2 linked regions of the Nothobranchius furzeri genome follow. The protein of the gene in region 1 purifies or fractionates together with the protein of each later gene. This does not show direct contact. Links are inferred from orthologs where the notes say so. Each region holds a gene or a part of one and is shown in the gene's direction. Other genes may lie near its edges.

Evidence for each region.
Region 2: the proteins of robo1 (region 1) and usp33 purify together in Homo sapiens (affinity purification with western blotting; 5 studies listed by BioGRID and IntAct, with this or other methods). This does not show direct contact. The link is inferred for Nothobranchius furzeri from reciprocal best matches to the Homo sapiens genes ROBO1 and USP33.

Annotation. Positions count from the first base shown.
Region 1 is NC_091753.1:53,954,983-53,966,745, reverse strand, and holds part of robo1 (roundabout homolog 1), read left to right. Parts: intron 1-166; coding exon 167-209; intron 210-1,694; coding exon 1,695-1,849; intron 1,850-3,525; coding exon 3,526-3,912; intron 3,913-4,564; coding exon 4,565-4,681; intron 4,682-6,850; coding exon 6,851-6,995; intron 6,996-7,260; coding exon 7,261-7,488; intron 7,489-7,910; coding exon 7,911-8,398; intron 8,399-8,489; coding exon 8,490-8,651; intron 8,652-11,763. UniProt on the Homo sapiens protein: Receptor for SLIT1 and SLIT2 that mediates cellular responses to molecular guidance cues in cellular migration, including axonal navigation at the ventral midline of the neural tube and projection of axons to different regions during neuronal development.
Region 2 is NC_091751.1:41,925,899-41,938,371, reverse strand, and holds the start of usp33 (ubiquitin carboxyl-terminal hydrolase 33), read left to right. Parts: upstream 1-5,743; 5' UTR 5,744-5,883; intron 5,884-6,228; exon of another isoform or gene 6,229-6,341; intron 6,342-11,626; 5' UTR 11,627-11,641; coding exon 11,642-11,725; intron 11,726-12,056; coding exon 12,057-12,110; intron 12,111-12,197; coding exon 12,198-12,260; intron 12,261-12,473. Other genes in the region: miga1 (mitoguardin 1), read right to left, coding at 1-131, 294-426, 1,273-1,397, 1,547-1,718, 2,296-2,394. UniProt on the Homo sapiens protein: Deubiquitinating enzyme involved in various processes such as centrosome duplication, cellular migration and beta-2 adrenergic receptor/ADRB2 recycling.

The DNA of each region.
Region 1 (11,763 bases):
GTGACTCGACTGGAATCGTGCACACACCTCAAACACAATAATTGTCATTTAATGCAGAAATGATTCATTTACTTTTGACTTATTATGACAGTTGTATAAATGATGATGCAATAAAAAGGTTTGCTTTGAAATCATGATGGAAACCTAATATGTGTTCTTTGTTTAGTGGCATATCAAAGAGGTGGAGAAAGTATCAGCAGTGCTGGAAGGTAAGGCTTTTTTTTAAGTGTGTGACTGCTTTCAATTTATTTTTTCATGTCTCAGAAAATTACATTATTAGACTTGATTTTTCAAACGGGGTGTTGAACCTTCAGAACAGACAAAAAAGGGATGGGCACATGCACTTTTCTTTCCCAAACACTAGGGGGCGATCTGAGTCTTTCCAAGGCAGCAGGTAGTATAAAGGGTGTAATAATGGTTGAGGAACAAAGACCAGGCCGAGTCGGATGGGAGCCCATCCCATGTGCTGGAACGCCACATCCTACCACAAGGCTGTGCCATAGCATCGCTCTAAAATAGGAACAGAGACCCGTGCATGTGCACAGCAGCAACTACGTGCCTATTGGATGGTGCACCACACACAAGCTGTGAGACTGCACAGCATTACACTTGCCAAAACTAATTTGTTTATCCTCTGGATGGCCTTTGGCATGTCGTCATATAGCTGGTAAATGGAATACGTGTGTGTGTGTGTGTGTGTAAGGGGGGGGGTGCATTCAGTTATTATCCGATTTCTGCTCAGAGAACAGAATGTACTTAATGCTGCACCATAAGTGTGTGTGTGTGTGTTAATGAATAGTTAGCTTGAAGCCATCAACAGTAAATCCATATTCATTATATTACTCCAGCTGTATGATTGAATCCTGTTTCCAGTGCGGCTGTGTCAGCTCTGCACTAAACAATGGTCGTTCAATATCAACATACAACTGCCGGGGTGACTGAGGAGCTATTGTGAGATTGTATTTGGCCGTACAAGACAAATGTGTTCATTACCCAAAATTAATCCAAGAAATGAGTCATTACGGGTGGAATGAGGAAATGTAATTCAATGCTAATTCAGTGCTGGGATATGCGGTCCGGGAGTTTTGAATACCAAAGCAGTATGCAGCCCCGCTAGAGTACACTGCTTCCCTTTTTACGCTGGATTGATTTGTTTAATCAGCAATAGGAAAAAAAAAATATTGTGCTGTTTTTTTCTGCAGCAAAGGTCAAGATCTACAGAATAATCCTGTTAACAAGTGATGTTATATCAGCTGCACTGTACTAAACAGGAGAACAAAGACACAAAAAACTCTATTTTGCATGTGTGTTTAACAGAAAACTGAGCTTTTGTGTGACGTTGAATTTACTCAGGGAGCAACATCAGGAGTGAATTTTATCTGGCTGTCTGATTCAGGCAGATCGCTAACGCTCACATGGTCTCAGAGCAAGCATCATCAGCTCTGTGGAAATCAAACACGCTCCATATTTAGCTCTTTTATGCGTTTCCTTATTGCATGTTTGGCCAAAAGGCAAAAAGTACTCAAACCGGATTTAGTTTTCCTCTTCTCAGCCGCACAAATAAACTCTGCATAATCTTCTTCCCCCAAACACTAGGTTCCTGCGGGTGTTTTCGTTCATTCAGACAAATGTCATTGTGGCGCTGGCTTAGTTTGTTACCATTGTCAAACATCTGGTCTCATTTCTCCTCGCAGGCCTGGTTTACTAAACATGGGAGACTCAGCCACTCAGCCCTGGCTGGCTGACACATGGCCCAACTCGTGCTCCAACCACAACGACTGCAGCATCAACTGCTGCACCGCGGGCAACGGCAACAGTGACAGCAACCTGACAACGTACAGCAGACCAGGTAAGTCACGCCACACCTCTCACATGCAGGCAGAAACCAGAAAAAAAAAATCACTCCTCTCCAAGGCAACGATGCAGTCCTTGACAAAATAACTATTGTGATAAGAAATGTGGGAGCTTGGGGGAACCTGCAGTGCAAGAGGAAGTAAGATCTGATATCTAGGTTAGCTCTCGAGGGAGTTGCTGTGTGCATCTCTCCCTTCTGCAGGTCTCCACTAGAGAACAGTAGAATAGTGGCTATGCGCGTGTGTGTATGATTTATTTGAGGTTGAAGTGTAGCCGTTTTAGGCAGGAAATAAAAGGAGTACACTGAGCAGGGCTTATAGCTCGACTCTGTTGCTAATCAAATTGCTCTGCTGATTTCCATACAGTTGTTATAGCTGGTAATGTAATTTCCTCTAAGTGCTCAGTTGTTTAAGAAATGTGCAGCGGGCAAGGGGGTCAAGGCTGGACGGCAGGCGATGGCCAGAAGCAGGGGGAGAGAGAGGGGGTGCACCTGGATCAGTAGATGGAGAATTAGGAACATTTGAAACCAGACAGAGGAATATGATGTGGTGTTTTTGCGCAAAGGGGAGCTTGTTTGGCTCCAGGTCCTTGTCCACTGTTGCTAAATCATTTACTGTATGGTATTTATAGAATAATATGCACCCAGAAACTTTCGCATGGATGACATGAGTTAATGTTAATATATTTCAAGCATGACCAACAACCCCATCATAGAAACTTGGACGCCACTAAAATCTTTTATGTTCTAAATTATGCACTTTGGGGCTCTAATAGCAGCACATAACTCCCGTCCAGCTGTTCTACCCAATATCCATCCAGCCTCCCGATGGTGTTCTCCCGACTTCAAACCTCTCTCAGAGAGGAATCATAATTCATTTCACAGACTTTATAGTCCAGTGCAGTTTTCCTTTGTGCTAATCACCCCTCTGAGGTTGTATGAGAGGCTGGAGCCCTCACTCTCCTTGCATGACACCCTGCTATATGACACTAAGGAGCTTGCCAGACGCATGCTTTGTGTGTGTGTGTGTGCCAAAACTAAACTGAACATTAAGAGGATCACTGACTAGGTGACAGAGCAAAGAAATCGGAGTTAATGTCCCTTTATCTCAGCCATAGGGGCGCTTTCACACAGCGTCCTTTGAAGTGTTGATCTGTTCCGTGCAGCTGAAATGTGAGGCGCGTGGCACGAGCCGCGTGTACTATGGCCGTCTTTGGTATTTACCGCTAGGCTGGCTCTCAGACCTGCTGGAGGATTTGAATATTTTATGAGCCAGGGAAAATTGGATCAGTCTGTGAAGCTGTGCTTTTACTGCGTGCCTCGTTCCATGTCTTTGATACAGACATGTCTCTCTGTCCCTCTCAATGAGGGAGGATGCTGCCGCTGTCAGATGGAGGGGGGAAAAATGGCTCCCCCACTGAGTTATTGGTAGATTGGTGCAACACCTGAAACGGGATCATTTGGTGAACAAAGCTGAAAATTAAAACAGAAAAATGGAATGTTTCTCCACTGGATAGTGATCTTTGCAAAGCTTGAAATGAAAATGTGTCTTTTGTTAGAATAAGCTCCAAATTAGATCAGATTGTTTGAAATCTTTTACCAAGCTGGCTTACTGCTGCTAAGCTGATCAGCAGCAGTAAAGACTGACTAAATGCCCTCCTCATGTTCTCCAGCCGACTGTATCGCCAATTATAACAACCAGATGGATAACAAGCAGACCAACCTCATGGTGCCAGACTCAGGGGTCTATGGAGATGTGGACCTGTCCAACAAGATCAATGAAATGAAGACCTTCAACAGCCCAAACCTGAAAGATGGCCGCTTTGTAGGCACAGGGGGCCAGCCAACACCTTACGCCACCACTCAGCTCATCCAGTCCTCCATCATGAGCAACAACACGAACTCAGACAGAGTCATCGGTGGGAGCGGAGGTGGACTCGGGGGTGGAGGGGAATTAAATGAGAAACACTGCTGGAAGCCAGCATCAGCCCAGCAGCAGAAACAGGAAATGGGCTCCCAGCTCCAGTACAGCATCATGGAACAAAACAAGCTCAATAAGGGTGAGTGTGTGGAGTACCCAGCAGCCTCTGTTACAGAGGTCAACTCCAGGCCATGATCTTCCTCCACTTGACTTTCCCCTCTGTTCTCTGCTCTCCTGGCTGATTCAGCCACCCTATGGATGTCTATGCAAGAGTTTCATGCTTATTCACCATTTGGCTCTTTCCTCCCAGTCTTTTTCAGTCCACAAAGGCATCATCACTCTTTCTTTCTGCTTGTCTGTTTGGCATTCATGTTATCCTTCATCATCTTTTGGGCCAGGCTTGAATCCTCTCTCGGTATTCTGGGTATTGCTCTGATAAAGGCGGGCGCTGAAAGCGCTTCTCTATCTGTCACATTTCTATAAAGACGACAAAGATAAATCAAAGCTGTTTGAATCAAGCTATAATTATCTTATCCTACCTGGTGAAAGGACCCTTGTCTAGCATTTAACATCAAAGATATGTGTTGCATGTGATATATAGTCACCTGAGATCTATCCTGCATGTCTGTCTTTGCATTTACCTTATAACATTAGGCTCACTGCAGGAGAATTAGAGAATTTTTGGTTACATCGCCAATGTTCTTCATTCCTTTTCATGAGAAACTGGGTGATTTCCTTTGACCTCTGACTAGTTACGCCTGGGAATGAACTAACTGGACTCTATCCAACAGATCGCTACAGAGGCGGCGACAGTCCGATGCCAGCCACCATTCCCTACAACCAGACTCACGACAGCCACACCGGGGGCTCCTACAACAGCTCTGACCGAGGCAGCAGCAGCACCTCTGGTGAGATGTGTTGGGCTTTATAGAGAAATACAACTTAAAGGGGCATTAAGGAAGTTTGACAGCCAAAACATGTATAGAAATAATAAATGTCTTCTTCATACATTCTCCTGCAATACCCTGGTCCTGTAGAATGAGCCCTGGCATTTTTACTGTGATTGCCTGTTTTTCTGTAAAATCACAGAAAAAGAGAGATGCTCGGGTCGAGCAGGCTGCTTCATGCGCGTTCACGCTCAGGCATCGCCCGTAGCATTTGCTATCCGTAGCTTTAGTCTTTGTCGCTGTTCCTAACGCCTAGTGACAAAGCTAGCTACAATTCTGGAGACACTTAGCTACTTTCTGTAGAACTTTCTTCTAGATATTTCCTGCAAATTAGCAACAAAATAGCCATTTTAGCTCTGAACCGTTCTTTGAACGTTGTTTCAGCTGTCACAGTGGCGTGTCCAGATCTTTTAAAATGGGGTGGCCCAGGTGAGGCACTACTTTGTGCATATGTGGCACCAGTGGTTATGCTTTTTTGTTTTACCTCAAGCCTTTTGTGGACAATGAAACGCCCATTTAAAGGAAATTCTGTGTGGTGACACCTGGGGTGGCCAATCAGATTCCAAGGGTGGCATGTGCTACCCCAGACCACTCCCTGGACTGAGCTGTCATCAAGGATATAAATGTTACAGATACAAATGACATCACTGGCGCTTTAGCTCCCCTAGTAAAACATCGGCCTCTCGTGCAGAAGACCTGGGTTTGATTCTGGATGTGAACATAGTTTATTTAGTTTCTTTTTTACATTAATGGTATATTTTTACAGTAAGATGCCCAAATTTTTATTTGAGACTCGCCGAACGGCATTGAATTCACAGATAAAAAAAGATGTGGGTTCAACTTTCATTTTGGAACAATTTTTCAAGCAAGGGAAGGGAATGATCTGAGCATGCAGGAGGACTGACCCATCATAAACCTTTGTCGGCTGTGCTGAAGAGAAAGGTACAGAACCACATTATTTAATTAATTAGCTGCGCGTTCTCCTGTCCTCTGCCCTCCGGGCCACACACACACACCCACCCACCCACACACACACACACACACACACACACACGGGACTGTCTCAGCTGTTATTTTCGTTAAAGAGTGTGCACGTACAGCATGCGCGCCTCGTGCACGAGCCTACTATTGAAGCTGGCGTTACGCTTTTGGCCTGAGGGGCAATCGCAAGCATAAAAATTTAAAACTCCATTAAGTCCCTTTAAAGGCGCATCATCAGATCTCTTATCAACTTATTCCACTTCTTTTAGACTTTAATAATTAACATTTCATGTTTTGCCAAGTAATCTTTTAGCTTCTGCAATCACTGTGAACCCAAGACTCCCGTACACATACTCCACAAAGGCAATACATCATCGTAGTGACACTAATAAAATATGCTTTAAAGGCTTTTTCTGATTCATTTATCCTGTCAAATTTTATGAAAACTTTGCAAAAAAGGGCCGATTAGAGTAGTTGCGCTGCTTCTAAACAATGAAAGAACCACTAGAGCCTGATAATGCTTACAAGAGTAAAAAGAAATGTATGCCTTTTATGGTGCCTCTAAGTAGTTCTCTACGTATTTGTGGTGCTAGTTTTGCCCTAGCTTACTTTAACCAGATTTAGCTCAATTCTATTGTGATGCGGTTTAATATCCGGAGCTCGATGTGGACAAGGATAAATGATTACACACAGCAGACGGCATGCAACGCTGCCACCTTAATGCCATGTATCCATTCTGATATCACATTTGAAGTTCAAGTCATTAAGAAAAGGCCTTTTGTGCTTGCTGCACATCACAGCTCATTGGTTCACAATTTTAATAGTGTGGCATTAATTGGACCCTTTTCACGCTTCATTCTTACCTTTTTTCTCCGGACCAGCTGATAGCCCTGTGGTAGAACAGCTGGGTTTTATAGCGGTTTCTTTCTCAATGAGAGAATTCTGACAGTGCAGTCGAATTAGCCTCTCTGTTCTCCAGTGTACAACAATCTTTCTTGCAGTCAGCCTTGTTGATGTTCATTTTATATGCTGTCCATTTCCTGTCGGCGTTTATAACCGACGTGTTTCTGCTACACAGGATTCACGCGTGTGCATATGAAGGTGTGTAGTGACTGATTAAATGTCCGTTTTCCCTTTTTTTCTGAGCAGGGAGTCAGGGCCACAAGAAGGGAGTGCGCACCCCCAAACTACCCAAACAAAGCACAATGAATTGGGCTGACCTTCTACCCCCTCCTCCTGCAAACCCAGCCCCGGGTCGAACCACAGAGGAGTACGTACTGTCCATGGAAGAAAGGTAGACAGTCAATCTGACATTGACGCTCACGGTGTTGAAGTGCTAGACAATTTCTGAACACGTTCTTCTGTTTCTTATAACCATTCCAAGTGCTCGCCTCAGGAGTTTCCTGTCCATTAGAGCTCCGTTTGTGTCAAATCCTGATGGAAGGAATGCATGAATATTTAGTTCCTCTTTTTTTTCCCAGCTTCAGAATATATTGAAAACATTGACGTTACCCGTGAGTGATCTGCAGCTAACAAGGCTTGTTTGTGTCTGCTGGCAGCGGTGATCCAGACATGCAGTGCCCCATGCCCCCTTCTCACATGTACCTGCAGCCTGATGAGTTAGAGGAGGAGGAGATGGAGAGGGGGCCTACTCCTCCTGTCCGCGGGGCAGCCTCTTCCCCCGCTGCTATATCCTACAGTCACCAGTCCACAGCCACCCTCACCCCCTCGCCGCAGGAGGAGATGCAGCCGATGCTTCAGGACGGATCAGACAGCCATGAACGCAGGTATATGTGTGAACGGCACTGAGCAGAGCACAATGCTGGCCACGCTGAGAGGCGGCGTTCAGGAAATGTATCTGCTCTAAAAGCCTCATTCGGCGTACTTTATTTCATGATTGGGCTCATTAACTCCAAATTCTGCACATTGCACTGCGGCGTCAGCCGTTTTTCAAAAGCATGTCTTAGCTTTTAGAATGATTTCTTACCTTCCACGGAGTCGTAGTTCCAAGTCATTTCAGTAAAGCATGACAAATGAATGTTACAATATGGCAAGTTATTATGGCATAAAATTTTAAATATTTTATTTGCATCACTGATGGAAGGTGTAGCACGTAGCTACAACAAGAAAGACCCGTTTTACAGCAAGCTGGTGAAATTTTTTTAAATCCTTACTGATGCTGATAAAATGTTTTCATCTCTTCCTGCAGGCGCCATGCTGTGAGCCCGCCACCCCCCCCAAGGCCCCACTCTCCCTCACACACATATGGATACATAGGCAGCCCACTGGCCTTGGACACCGACGGTCTGGAGGAAGAGGAGGATATATTAGAGGAAGAGGAGGAGGAGGATGGTGATGAAACAGACGCAGAGGTGGCCAAGATGCACTACCACCATACCCATCCCCACCCCCAGATGCATGCGCGAAGGTTGCTACTACGAGGACTGGAACAGACCCCTGCATCCAGCATGGGCGACCTGGAAAGCTCGGTGACCGGCTCCATGATCAACGGATGGGGCTCAGCTTCGGAGGAGGACAATGTCTCTTCGGGGAGGTCGAGTGCAGTCAGCTCATCAGACGGCTCCTTTTTCACAGACGCCGACTTTGCTCAAGCAGTTGCTGCAGCTGCAGAATATTCAGGGCTCAGGGTGGCAAAGTACCCCAATTCACAGGTCCAGGAAGTGGGCGGAGCCTCAGGTAAAGTCCACAACTTCTACACAGAAGATTACTGCAACAAATTTGAAGTTATTGCAAAGAAACAAACAAAATGTTCTGTTTCTTTTCTCAGCTCGAAAATACCAAATAAACCCGTCGGGACATCGTCCTGGCAGCCCAGTGTCTACAGACAGTAATATGAGTATGGCAGCTATGCACAGGAGGCCTCCTAAAAAGCAAAAACAGCATCCTGCAGGTCATCCTGGGAACCAGAGACGTGAAGCCTTCAGTGAAGGTACATGAACGAGTACATCTACATAAAGTAACCCAGTCCTGCTTCAAGTAGGTTACTGGCTGATAAACTAAAACCTAAAAAAGCACTCACCGAATGAAGTTTTACGTCTTTTGATACCCAAGTCATTAAGATTTAGCACACCATTGTGTGAAAGAACAGTCTTGCTTTCATTCCGAAAAGAACCAGAACATATTTGTGTTCTGTAAATCTACGGTAGAGATGTATGTTTTCAACATTTTTGTTTGACCAGTTGAAGTACGGTTCATAATTGGTTTACCATAAACTCGTGTGTGCACTTCTTCGTTCACTCATTCTAATAGATTTTGATGCAAAACCAAAGTAGCACACTCGTTATAATATTCAGAAACAAAATGGCGCGAGTGGGTCGAGGGTTGACCTGTCCATCAGGACCTGTTGCACAGCGATGCTTGCACATTCTGGAGCACACACTTTTAAAAACAAATTAAGTTTCCTTACACTGAACTAAACTGTTACACTGACATTCCTTTATATTATTAATCAAATTACTCTTAAGAGGCAGATGCAAAATAGCTGTGGCCAAGCAGGAGCGCCATGGCAGAGACCGAGTCCTGGCCTCGGGTCTGTTTGCCGTGCGGCTTCGTTTCCACACTGTGCTCTTTCTTGACCGCTTCATCTTTGAATAAATGTATTTTTGTATCGCTCATCCCGTCCTCTAGTGGAACAAAATATTAGACACAAGCGCAGTACAATAACCATGTACATGCAATTAGGGTTGTCACGGTGTGAAAATTTAACCTCACAGTTATTGTGACCAAAATTATCACGGTTTTCGGTATTATCGCAGTATTTTTTTAAACGTGTTACATTTTCAAACAACTAAATAAACCCTGTGTATCAGGAAAATATTGTCCTCGGTTTATGTCAAAATTTTGCCTAAAATGTGTTATTTTGTAATTATGTTGTTTATTTACATTTTTCCCCTTTAAAATACCAATATTTGCCCATAACTTCTTATTTTTTGTCTGTTTGATGTCATCATTTTAAAAATATTAGACCAGATGATACTCAGTACTCAAGTAGCCTTCTAATCAGATACATTTTTACCCTTACTTGAGTAATAAACCCTATATCAGGAAAATATTGTCCTCGGTTTGTGTCCTTCCAGTGAGCTTTGCAGATTTGGGAAAATGTCATCAGGCAGTAATCATTGTTAAATTCATAATTATTCTCAGAGAGAGACCAACTCTTATCTGCCTCTGGGAGCCCCGTAATGCATAGTGTCATTTCAACATGGCGGTGTCCGCGACACGGTTTATATGCAGGTAGCGGCGCTGCGGCTGCTTTATATAGCGACTTGTTGCATTCTCCCTCAACCCAAATCCTCGGATGACGCATTTTAGCTAAAACGCTAACGTTAGCTTGCCTTGCGTTGACTGTAGAGTTGTGGGTGATGGTCAGGCAGATGTGTCATGAGATTTGAAGCGTTGCTGCCTTTCTCAGACACTTTTTCTGCACGTGCTGCAAACAGGATAGCCGTCTTCTATCAACTGTCCCTCGGCATTCTTCAAATATCTAAAATATGCCTGTAATTCCCACTTTGTCTTCTTTGACGGATAATGAATGTCCTGAGCGCTGCCGTCTCCTCCTTTGACCATTATTTCAGCTTTAGCTTCAAGAAAGTTTTGGTCGTAAACAACAAAGTGCGCTTGTGCCGCCGGCAACTTCAGCAGATGATACGGTGGCTGGTAAGGGTCACCGCGCCTACACCGCAGTCACAAAGATAATATATATTTTTTAAACAAGACAGTTATTATTATTGTCAACTTTTTCACCAGGGTTTACCGCTACACCGGTTACAGTGACAACCCTACATGCAATTAGTATTCCAAAAATATTTATTAGAATAAATGAATAAAAAAAAAAGAAAAAAAAAAGAATAAATGAATACATTGGATTTGCACTAGTGACTCAAGTGGTATTTAGTTAAGATAAAATCACAATAAAGCAGCTACGCCGTAAGTACACAGATGGCCAGTTAGTGTCGATGGCTTTGCCTCGATTCTCTGTAAAGACTGGAGGAGGAAAAGCAGTTTACTGTGACATGTCTGCAAACGACTGAGTATGGGATAGTTGTGAGCCAGAGTTTAATCATCTTCTCTTCATGTGGTTACGCACATGCATACATGGCATCTCTCCTAATCTGTGGCAGTGCTAAACAGACTGGGCCAGCAGTGGGCTGTGGTGGGGAGGAGCTGTCCTCTAATGTAATTGATCCAGGTGTTCTGAGGAGACACCTTTAATTCATCGGGGCCAGTTGTAACCGAAACAAGATAAAGAAAGAACAAAACCAGCTGTACGAATAGCTTTAACCTTGTTAAATAAAAAAGCATTTGACTTTTTATGGCATTTTTAATGGGCTGAGGAAACCTACCTCCCTTTTTTTTTACCAGCTACCTTTGAAAGGATAATTTTCTTAAAATGTAAGCCCGCCTGTGCACACGCACACGTTCTCTGGGTGTAGTCCTGGAGCTGGCTCTCCTTTTAGTGTCAGGTGTCCTTGAGTGTTGGAAGCACTTGACAAGGAGATTTAATATCGCGCTCGCTGGGCGCCAGACCAGCTATATCACTGCAGAATATCCAGCACCTCCAAACCCCGCCTCCCACCATGATCCTTATATCCTGGCTTCCTCCTCATCCTCTGCCCCTCCCTTGGCTGCAATCTCTCCATCCCACTCCCCTCTGTCTTTGTTTGAGCAGGGAGGGGGTAACTGACAGCTCGGCAGTTCTGTGTATCATTCTTTCTGCTGATTGCATTTGATCTGAATGGATTGTTTTTCATTTGGAGGTTATTGCCTCCCCCACCCAGCCAGCCTGCGTAACTCGTGTGTGGTCTGGAATACTGAGGTGATAGGTGAAGGAAGGCGATTGTTGACATTTGGAACAAAGAAGTTAAAGAAAAGCAGTGTTTCTCAGACAAAAAGCATGGTTTATGGGGGGTGGGGTGTAAGGATTTAATTTCTTTCATTTGCACCCTTCCAACTACGACACAAAGCTGCCTTACCATAGTTTTACTCATCGGCACAGACGAGACACCATTTAGTTTCCCCTCTTGCATTGACACTTATGTCTT
Region 2 (12,473 bases), on another chromosome or scaffold:
GCTCGGCTCGGCGATGGCATCTCCAGCTCCTGTTTTCACAGAGGCACAGCTCACGTCATCTTCAGCCAGCCTGCTCCTGAACGTCAGCGCCTCCTCCCAGCGCTGCAGGGCCTCCTCGAATAAATCCATGCCTGGAGGAAAGCAGCAAATAATACCTTAGTTTGTTTAATGTCAAAACATGGCGTAACCCACCAAAACAACCACACGCATCATCCGTTGATGAGTGTTTATTATGTTGTCCAAACCCTTTATCACAAACACAACGAGGCTACAGAGAATACGACTCTCTTTACCCATCAGATAGAGGTTTTCAGGGGTGGTGACAGATAGGTTGACCACGCTGCAGACCTCAACTTCACCCACTCCGTCCCAGCAGATGGACTCGTCCGCACAGGTGCTGCTGCTGGACGAGTTCATGCTTTGCACCTGTGAAGACGAAGCAGAGCATGTTCACTCAGCAGAAACAATCAGCAGGTTGTTTCTAAAAAGACTGGATGCGATTTGTGTACAAATATTAAATATGATCCCGCTCATAAGAAATAACATTTTAAAGAGCAAGTCACCCCCAAATCAACTTTCTGTTTCTGATAAACTATATAAATGCGTGTCTAATCGTGCTGCAGACACGTGTAGTCAATAGTTTTGCACTTTAGTGCGTTTTAGTTAAAATTTGAGTTTTCTGCCTAAAACTGTCAGTGTTGTGCCGTTGTCAGGTAAAAACTCTGCACTGCATTTGAAGAAAATATCATTTCTATAGCGCCTCTCAAGATAAAAATCACGAGGCGCTTCACAAAAACAAAAAATGTAAAAATATAAAAATAATTTAGAAAATGTTTAAAAATATATTTTAAATGAGCAAAAAATAGACAATTGTGATTAAAAATGTAAAGAAAGAGAGAGAGTGAAAAGGAAAGAGGTAGGGAGAGCAGAACAAGGAGTTGCTAATGCTAACAGTTAGCTTGTAGCCAACTGCTCTGTTTTCTCCTGGACGCTAAATGAACAACAGCCTTCCCCGTCACGAGTTAAGATGGGTGAGTCCTTGAATGCTATCTTGTCATCATGACATGCAAATGTAGGCTTTTCTAATACGAGCATTTCCTAGAATATTTTTCTTTTGTCGGCTAATACAGGAAAAAGTGGTAGGAGACTATTTTCACCCTTTAGCCTGCAGGTTAAACCAAGAATGATCAATCATAATAAAAAAAATATATACAAGTAAAAACTTATTCTCAGTGAACTTGGCCTTCAATAGAAACATCAGATGCGTCTTACCGAGGCCAAGCTCATCAGAGACCCAGAGAGTTTTCTGTAATCTCTCGTGGTGAGAACCAGTCCAGAACCAGCTGAGCTGGTGTTCTTGGAGTTGAGGGAGACGCTGATGGTTTGGCTGGTGTTATCTGGGAAGAGAATGTTTAACACTTTAGAGATAAGCTTACAAAACAATGTTTAAACACAGCAGGAGGGCTCCCTCTCAAATGCAACTCAACTCCAGTTACTTCTAGGATGCGGATTACAGAGCTGATGGACAGACAGTAAAACATCTCACCATTGTCTGCTGAGGCTGGAGAGTAAACATCAAAACCAGCCTCCTTCCACTGTGGAGAGGGACCCTTCTTTCTGCCCTTCCTCCTCCGAAAGCGGTGAGCGAGGAGGAGGAGCGAGGCAGTTCCGAATGCAGCAGCAGCCACCAGCCTCTTGGCGCTGGAGCTGACGCTCACCTGGAGGGTCAGAAGTTCAACAACACTTACATTTATGAGGGTTAAAAAATTCTGAACAGAAATCTAACGTAAACTAATATTTGTCCACAACAAAAGCAGAGTTCAAAGTCCCAAAACCTGCATCTAAATCAGAATAGCATAAAAGACCAGAGGGGATGTGCTGATCTGATTGCTTTGCCTCCACTTTGAAGCCTTGCAGCTCTGCGGAGCTTCAGAGCTGCATCCATAACTGCTGTTGCCACATATCAAATGAGCTTCTACCAGACAACTCTAATAATATCAGACCAGCTCTGTGACTCAAACACTCTTGTGTCTTATGTAATAAACAGAACAGCATCTGGGTAACAAATGGAAAATATAAGGTACTTACTGCTCTAAAGAACATGAAAAAACACAAAGCGAAACAAAAGAAATGGAGGGGAACGCTTGAGATTTGTGCATGAAAATCAATTTGAGGTTTAGATTTAACTGAGATTTTTTTGTCATCTGAAGGTCTGTATGTTTTCTTTCATGTATGAATGATGTACCCTAAAACTGATCCCAGTAAGAGCTCCAAGTGATCGTTTCTTTTGCTCACCTGTGTCAGGGAGCTGTAGACGGATAGCGAGAGGTCAACCATGCGCAGGGCAGCAGCTTTCACAGACAGCTGGGAGCTTGTGAGGTTCTCATGTGTCATTGTGGCTCTCTATCCATGTCTTGGCAGGAGTTTTGTCCTCAACATTTCACTGGTGCTGTAGAAGAGACGAGAAGAGATTTCACCTTAGAGGCTCAGGAGAGGATCTTATGTAAAGCCAGTAAATTCAGGTCTTAACGTTAGTGCAATGACCTGAAAGAACACCCTACAAAAGAAAGAAATAATAAGTCTTACCCAAAATTGCAGCAAATGAAAGCATTATGGGGTTTATCTTTCTGTTACCATACAACTGTTATATAAAAACAAGCACGTACCACATATTATTTGATGTCATAAATCCATTTGGCAGGACAGGGAAACATCTAATCAAATTTGTCTAAGACATTTAAAATCTGTTTTAATATATTATATTGTATTTTTAATCAACTTCATCCACTTAAAGCTTGCTGGCACGTGTATAATATGTGTAAGAATTGAATATTTTACCTTATTTACAATCTTAGTTAAAATTAATCTAAACTAGACAGAATTTTTACAGCGCGCAATAAACTAAAGAATAAAGAAGCAGACTTGATTTTAGACTTAAGACTATTCCAAATCCTGCATTTAAAACTAAAATTCTGCAAGTTTGTTTCAACTTAAGCTAAAACAATCGCTTTCTTGTAACAAAATTTAAAAAAAATGCTTAAAATACTCATTCCTTTTCACCAGTTATTGTCTTAGCCACATGTTAAAAGCACTTAGATATTTTTGTGTTGCTGCATCTGCATGGCACCACAATAATACACAATAATACAATGAGCTTGAATTACACCAAAACACATTCATCTAACGGCAAATGTTGTGGGGGGAAAAAAATCCATAAATGTTTTCATAGAAAAAGCCTTTCTGTCGAGAAGAAAATCAAGAAATGTATCAGAAAATCACTTTAGCACATGGCTGGATCATACTTATCGGCTTCAATGGGAAGCTAAAGGCTAGCTAAGAAAACAGCATACAAAAACTAGCTAAAACAGTTTCAAACTTGTATTTACACGCTGTCTCCTATCTGAATGTAACATACTAAAGATGGAAAACACATTATCGTTACTCGTTAAGATTTCCTTCACGGTGTCCTCTCCCGGTGTTTCGTTCAGTCCTCCGGTTGACCTCAGTCGGTTCCAGACGATTGAAGGACTCGCTTGAGCTACAAACGCCCTCTTCCGGTTTGGCTTTCAAAATAAAAGCGCTCATCTTATTTACATTTGTGGAGCTTTGGCGCCCTCTTTGGTTTGGTTGCGTATTACATTATTTAAGGGTCTCACGTGATAATTACAAAATTAAAGAGCAAGTCACCCCTTACAAGAAGCGTACTTCACTCCCACTTCATGTTTGAAAAATGCAACAAATGCTGTTGCCTAGCAGACCGAGAGGGTGGAGCCACTAACAAATACACACACTCACGGCATTGTGACATCATAATGTACCAGTTTACATCATAGCATACCTCTTAGCCAGTAGCGGTGGCAGATTTAAATTCAAATGCAGTGAAGAGTTTTTACCTGACAACGGCACAACACTGACAGTTTCAGGCAGAAAATTTAAATTTTAATAAAATGCACTAAAGTGCAAAACTACTGACTACACGTGTCTGCAGCACGGTTAGACACACATTTATATAGTTTATCAGAAAAAAATAGTTGATTTGGGGGTGACTTGCTCTTTAATGTATGTGATTTTGCCATGGATTTTACATGAACAATGAGAGTTTAAAATAAAAATTTAAAAAGCTGCAATTTAAAAATTACTTTGAAGTAAATGTTTGAGGTGTAGGTTTTAGGTCAGCTGTTAAAATAAGCCATATTTTTTATAGAACTCTTGATGAACACACTGTAAACGTGACTTATAACATTTTTCTGACTCTTTTTGCTCACTACATATCAATGTTTCAAATAAAATGTTCCATTTAATCTAATTTACGTTATTGTTCATCACTAACTTTATGTCACATAAAGTTAGAAAATGGAACATTTTAATAAAAACCTATATTTAAAAACAATACCTCCACGGGGTGCTCAGAGGTGTGCAGAATAAATGTACAGTTTCTCCTTTTAAACCTTTATTTTAATATTTTATAATTTAAAAAGACACATAATCATATTTTTATTCTGTCAGCACGACACTGTGATATATTTTCATCTACCAGCCACTAGAGGGCACCGCCCAACAAGGCAAGGTTGGGACTGTGGCAGACTTGACAAGTCAAACAGTTGACTCTGAGCCCAGAAGATGTTCTAACTGTACGTACTGTTGTAAAATAAACCTATTATTAGAAATGAGTCCTTATCCTGTATGATTTGTCTCTGAACACGGTGCTGGAACATGACAGCAGTGAGCCAACATCCCAGTTGCTGGAAAATTCGTCCTGTTGTTGCAATACCACTTCTGAACACCAGAGTTCGCCAGATTATTCATATTCCATTGTCAACCTGATAACGAGCTGCGCCTTTCAGAGTCAGAGGACTCCAAGGGCTTTACCCTACAATGTACCATTCATCCATTCACACACACACACACACACACACACACACACACACACACACACACACACACACACACACACACACACACACACACACACACACGGGGGAACACTGACTAATGTAAATTAGACAGCAATTTGTGAAAGATATTTTAGATATTAATAACAGTTATTATCATGGTGTTTTCAAAAAATTTTTGTATGACTTTTATTTTTTGTTGTTAATGACAATGTTTTGTTTTCTTCTAATTTACTCTAGTTCACAAAATAAAAATAAAATCTGATTTTATATATTAAAGATTTTATAAGTCATGAAAATTTTTCTTTTCCCCACATATCTCTCGCTTTTAAATGTTAAAATGTCTCAGTTATACTTCTATCTTTTTAAATATTTCTATGACTAAAGCACATTTTAAGCATCATGTTTATGTTTGATCATGTATTTTATTTGGTTTCAATTCAATTCAAAAATACTTTATTAATCCCAGAGGGAAATTGATTGGTTGATTTGGATGTTATTTCCCTTTTTACGCTAGATCGCGCTTGGGTGGGTGTTCCCCATACATTGTGTATCAGCCAGGTGACTGATTTTGTATTTTAAAAATCTCTACTCTATCTTAACAAATTTAACTGCATTGTTACAACGTCAAAATCCAACCAATCTGCATGATGACTCAATATTTTGTTCAGTAAGATATTATTATTACATTTTATTTAAAAATATAATTTTTGATAATGCTGGGCTCCTTTGTCCTAAAGCTATACAAGTGCCATTTGATAATATTTATAACAATGTAAACAAAAACTTTGTACAGTAAAATGGGGAGGATTCATACATTTTAAACCGGAAAATGGGCGGGGCTAGTTGTAACGTTAGCAACCACGCTGAGTGACGGTAGCGTTGTCTTTACTGTGGAGGATTTTCTTCTGAAATGTCTCTAAAACCAATGTGAGATACGCCAGGAACAGTTGGATCTACGCGAGAAGCAGCGTGTCTTGTTAAGGAGCTGGTAAGGACCAAATCTGGGCTTTTTTTTTGGATGCTGCTGACTCCTGTGAGGTCCGATTGTCACTGATCATCAGTAGCTTTAGCTTGCTAACCAGTTAGCATGTTCGTAGTGAGATGACTATACGTTATAAACCATCGAACCGGAACATTTTCGGTGTGTGATTTAGCGTAATACACATATGTTTTGTTTTTAGTGGTTAGTGGTAAGGTTAAGTTGCAACACACTGAATTAAAACGGATAGTAGTTAGCTAACGCTAACAGCGAAAGATGGCCAGCCAGCCTGTGACGCCTCTACATATTTTGACAGCTCACTAGGCCGAAGCCACACACTTCTGCATTAACCACTGACTTTATCTGGGACAAAAGGACAACTCGCTTCCGCTTTGAAACCTACAGTAAAAAAAAAAATTAAGTGATTAAACGGACTTTTTCTGTCACTTTCTCTGATTGGGTTTCAGGTAATGACGCTAACATCACGTTTTCTGCACAATAGTTATTGCTAACCTGTTGTGGACTGGCTGTTTGCTAAGCTAATGATTACATGTTTTAACGGATCAACTTTGTGCCTTTAAGATATAATTAATTCATATTTTCTCTGTTGACAAAAATGTATTAATGCATGTTATTAAGAACAGGATTAGCTGTATATATGTGAAATTTGTCTGAAAGCCCCACCCTAGAGTACCACTCATTTGTACAGTTTTTAGCTGTAGATCATGTATTCAGAATACTACCAAAAAAAAAAAATATATATATATATAAATATTTTGTTTCTAATATCCATCCTTATTACTGTTAAGGTGCAAAGGTGGTGGCTGAACATTTTAGTAAAATATGGTCACTTTAGCAGATACATTTTTATGTTAGATACTGGACCATCATTGTTACTGAGGTAGCTCCATAAGGCAGAACTGCTTTTAAACAGAGACAGCTAATAAATCAGTTATCCAATAATTATCGGATGAGGAGAGGTGCAAAATTCTGATGATGCACAAATCTAGCCTGACCAGCCAACCCCATGCTTCCTAATGGGAAGCATAGTTCCCTGCGTAGACAGAGGACAAGTCTGGCAGGTCAGGCTAGCACGTCTGGCTTTGATTAGCATTCAAAGTAATCTTTATAACTTGGATATAATTTACCACAACTGTTAACAGTATGGACAGAAATATGTCTGATTATGGGAGCTATTAACTGAATTGTCGTCTACAATGTAATTCTGGCTAAGCATTGCTTTTTTAAAATACATCAAACAGTAAAAAATGTGAAAAACTGTTTTAATCTTTATTTATCTTGCTGTACTTAGAAAACATGTGGCATCCAAATTCCATTCTTAAATGCAATTAGTTAGAAAAGCTGTCAAATCAACATTAATTTAAACATTTTCTCTGTGTAAAAGTGACTAAAAGTAAAACAAAATCATTTTAGCTTGTCTGGAATCGGTAGGACTGAAGTAAATGAACTTGGTTACATCCCATCTACCACTGGTATTTAATATAATGTCACATGACTTATGGAGGCACGGAGTGTATTGTATTGGTTTGAATAGGTATTCCCTCTGCTGTGTCCTGCTGTGTACTTCTAGCTGTATTTACAGCTGCAGGAACATTGAATTTATTTTTCCTTGACCTCTTGATCCTTTTTTCTTCCAAAGTTCACCGCAATCACAGGAGAATGGTCCGATAACATCCAGCATATCTTAGTCATATCATATCACATTTTTTGTTTATTGTTTGTGTGAAAAGCAATTTCATGCAGTTTGTCTCCCAGTTAGGCATTAACTAGCAGTTGTGTGACACGTATCGTGATAATAACGTGACATAACAGAGGTGTTATGTTTGATTTGTTTTTGACATTTCATAGCTGTGAAGCTAACTGATATATAGGTTTTAGATCAGAAAAGAACCTTACTCGTTACATTTTAGAATTAAAGAAGCTTTTAAAATCAATTTTTTTCAGATTGCCATGTAGTGGATGGATGAGAATCTAAATCAACACGATGCAGCACTTCCTCCTACTAAACTATTAATAAACAGACCCTAAAAAGCTCCTGTCTTCTTTCATTCTTTGAGTTTATGTCCCGTTTCCCTGATAAATAATTTTAAAGATGCATAAAATCTTCATGTGTTGATGGCGGTGGGATTTTACTCCCTTGCCAAAAGGCCCATCAACAGAAAGTTCTAATGATTTCCGATCATCCCTCTGAACGCTTTCTTCTTTTCTTCTCTGCAAAATGAAGTAAAACAATGAGAGTTAATGCAAGTCTGCATCTTATGAAGCTGTTTACATTAGTTCTGACACTCAAAATGTATTTGGAGTTAAAACAACACAATTATAACATAACCTGCACAAAAACCAGAGTCAACAACAGCAATGAAATGATAAGAGCCTATAAGATGAAGCCTCAGAATAGAATCTTGTAAAATCATGGAGGAATAGAAAGCAGATTACGTATCTTATCAGTGGTTTGGTGCTGGCTGTGCAGCAGGATAAACCCGTTTTATTCCTTTCTGTCTTCCGTCATTTATCCAGCCTGCTGGATGTGGCCTTCCTGTTTAACCTCCACTTAGGAACTGGGTGTGAAATCAGATTCCTGGGTGACTTTCACATTCGGTGTGTTTGTTGTTTCTTCGTCATTCTTTCCCATAAACATTTAGTAGCTGTTGTGGCTGATAGTGATTGGGAACATGGGTGAAGATGTTTCTCCACCACAGCTTCATATTTTTACCAGAACAAAGGCTTTTATAGATGATGTTAAAGGGGACATATTATGCAAAGCTCACCTTTTGCATAATTTTGTGCTTCCAAGTGGGTCTCTAGTATACTGCCTCTGTAAACACTCCCAAAAAATCAGTGTACTCGTTTTCTGTCAGTGTTTGGTTTTAGGAATTATGTGCTTAAAATGAGCTGTTTCACGAAGTCCTCATTTGTGATGTCACAACTGGGGAAATTTGAATAGAAGCACCTCATGTGCAAGAGAGCTGGTGCTGGAGGAACAGCAGCTCTACTCTGAGCCCCTCCCAGATATCAGAGCTTCTCAGCTTATTGACCCGTTGCACGTGAAGTCACACTTCTAGCTAACACATAACTTTTGTAAACACTACTCTCTATGACCCCCACCAAGGTGTGCTAATATTCCCACAAGTGAACTGGGCTAGAACCAGTAGAAACCAGGCTAAACTGGCAAAAAAACAACCTCAAATTTTCCCTCTCCATTCAATTCTCCCATAATTCACTGTTGCCCCACCTAAGTGTGCTGCTTTTTCCGATAACTGAACTGGGATTGAACTAGTTGAAGTAACGCTAAACATCAATCAATCAATCAATCAATCAATCAATCAATCAATCAATCAATCAATCAATCAATCAATCAATCAATCAATCAAAGCTTTATTTATAAAGTGCCTTCCGCGACCCTGTCGGGAAGCCCATGGCGCTGAACACAGTACATGAGAAAAAAAGGTAAAAACATTAAAGTAGAAAACAAATGGGTAAAACAGAGATAAAGAGACCAATGAAAGCAGGGAATTAAAGTCAACATAAATGAAGGCCTAACTCATACACATTCAGGGAATGCCAAGCCAACATCACAAAAACAACCAGAAGACAATCTCAGGCACTACATTTCCCTTTGTTCAGCACTCAGTTTGCTCTCTGTTTATTAAGCTTGTGTCGTCCAATATGTTGGACCCTCGTGATCAGCTGACATAGGTGCAAAGGGTCATTAGGGAGCCTAAGTCTCCTCCCTTTCCGGTCGGTTCATGGGTCCCCGGAAGAATGAAAAAATGAATGCAAGTCAACGGGGTTAAAAGCTTGTAAAAGTTCGTTATTAGCATGACGACAAATTAGATATCAGCATGTCGCATATGTGATGTCATGAAACTCCTCTCCTCTAGTGTAGCTACTACTTACCACATGGCCAGATTTATGGTGGTTCTTTTCCTCCTGAAGAAAGGATTTTAGGTTTGCTAAACTTACAGCCATTTTCCCTCAGTTTTCTCCGTGTCTGGTTTGATGACGTCACTTTCGTGAAGCGCATTTGTAGTCCTGGACTTATTTTCACACAAAACCTAAAATAACATTTCCCCTCGTTCAAAAATAAACACGTTCTTGGCATAAAAATGCTTCTTTAAAATTCACAGACATCATATGTGAAACCCATGGTACATAACAAGCAGAATTAGAAAATAGCTTTTTTAGCCCCATCGACTTGCATTCATTTTTTCGTTCTTCCGGGGACCCACGGTCCGGATGTAGATGGGCGTGACTTAGGCTCCCTATTGACCCTTTGCACCGACGTCACCTAATCACATGGGTCCACCATGCTGGACGGCAAAAGCATGTAAACAGTGAGCGGCACGAGTACTAAACAAAGGGAAAAGTAGAGCCTGAAATTGTTTTTGCGATCAAAACAAAAACAAAACTCCTCCAGCATTCCTTCAACTAGTTTATGCCCAGTTCAGTTATCAGAAGTAGCGCATCTAGCGGGGGCTCATAGAGAGCTTACCAACGTTAACTCCTCCTCTGCGGCTGTTCACCGATGTAAACATGTTGCTGACTTTGCTTAAATTCACCCCTCTGGATTTATAACTTTATGTTGTAAACAGCGTTTCACTTCACACAAAAGCTGATTTTTAAAAAGTCTGGATCCCTACCAGCTTCTGTTGCTGGTGGTGTTACCGGGTTCAGCTGCTGCTTTCACACCAGAATGAGAAGATCTCTGAACGCCGACGCTCATATAAATAAATAACGTAATTTTAACACACGTAATTATACATCGGAGCTTTAATATTGTTAATAATTGTCTCGCTTTACACTACAGTGGATGGAGCGCGGTCTCCGTGGTGAAATACCCATCCATCAGGATTATCAATAACTTGTATAAACACATCACATTTATCCCTGTCCCTGTATTCCTCGTGAAATAGATGAACGTTAATCTTACCCGGTAAAAATGTGTTTGCTGTAAATTTGAGGGCTGCTAGTCTGCCTGATTGATCGCTGCAGTTCATCTCCGTCCTCTGTCTCCATCAAAGTTATTAAAAAAACAAAACGAGTTGAGCTTACATCCTTATCTGTTAGTGCAGCCAACCACGCAGCACGCTAAAACCATTTTACTGTCAAGTCAACTAAATAAAAGCGATAAAAGGCTACAAACTGGCTTGTTTTGACTACCTTCACTGGAGTTTCAACGGGTTTAAACAGTCTTTTTGCCGTCCATCATGGCAAAGGGGGCGGTCACATGAGTGGCGTGACGTCACGTGCAAAGGGTCAATAGCAGCCTGAGTGGGGGGATGGGCGTGGCCAGCTCCAGCTTGTTTTCTTAAAGAGACAAAAACCTGAAACGGCTCATTCTGGAAGGTACTAGAAATATCAAGAATCAAACTGCTGAAATCGTTTTATGTTGGAGGTAATTGGTGCAAAGGACTTAAACATAATCATGTTTTATATAGATCAAAGCAGTATTATAACGTAAGAAAAAAGTCACAATATGTTTAGCTGTAGCAGGAAGCTGGCATAACTGGTTCAGAGTTATTGACAGCTGGTTGATGATTTCTGGCTTGGCAAGCCAACAGCTTACTAATTTTGAGTATGTGTGGAAAACCCTGTCAGGTGTGAGGACTCTGGTGACAGTAACCTGACTATTGTCTTCAGTGTTCTATAAAGCAAAAAGCTCATTCTGAGTCCGGAAAGTTACTCAAACCCAAACTGGAGTTGTGTTCTCAGTGTTGCGTTTCTCACGTAGACTGGTCGGTGAGCGATGTCGCCGACATCCAGCTGTGACTGCCCCCACCTGGACTGTGTGGGGGAGATCACCAAGGAGGAACTAATTCAGAAGTCTCATGTAAGTGACCCTGCTGAAATTTACCAACTCACTTTAAGGTAAACCTTAATGCGATTCCTAGAAGGTAATCTAGTAAGTAGTGGATTCAACTCAATTAAAGATGGCCGCCATGGTCCTCAGGCCTCAGAAAATAAAAACTGTAAACTGAAGAAGAAGAAGAAAATATCATTTTTATATATATGTGGTGATAGTAACTGATTGTTCATAGATCTTTTAAAACCTTTCCAAATTCAGATTTTAGTTTAAAACTGATGTGATTTGTTTACTTTGAGGAATTAATTTGTTTTTACTGCATTTTCACAATTTCCTATTAACCTTCACATCTCATCAGGGTCAGTGTCAAGACTGCAAAGTCAGAGGACCGAATCTGTGGGCGTGTTTGGAGGTAAGACAATGATTCCCAGGGAATGCGTCGAGCCGATCCTTTCCTCTTAAACATCATGGTGCCTTCATCTTCTGATTCCCTCTCCAGGATGGCTGTGCCTACGTGGGCTGTGGGGAATCTCACGCCGACCACAGCACGGTGCACTCGCAGGTGAGACGCTGAGAGCCGTCAAAGTGCAATCCCAACGAGGAAGTGGTTGTGATAAGAGTGGAAAAAGGGAATGACGCCTTGAGCTGGAAATAGATGAAAAGATTGAAGCGCAGACAGAAATCCCACATTAGAGTCCCGAGAGCCAGAGAACTACCTCCCCAACTTTCGTACCGCGTTTATTTTTAATGTTTTTCCTCTGTGATCTCAGAGCCC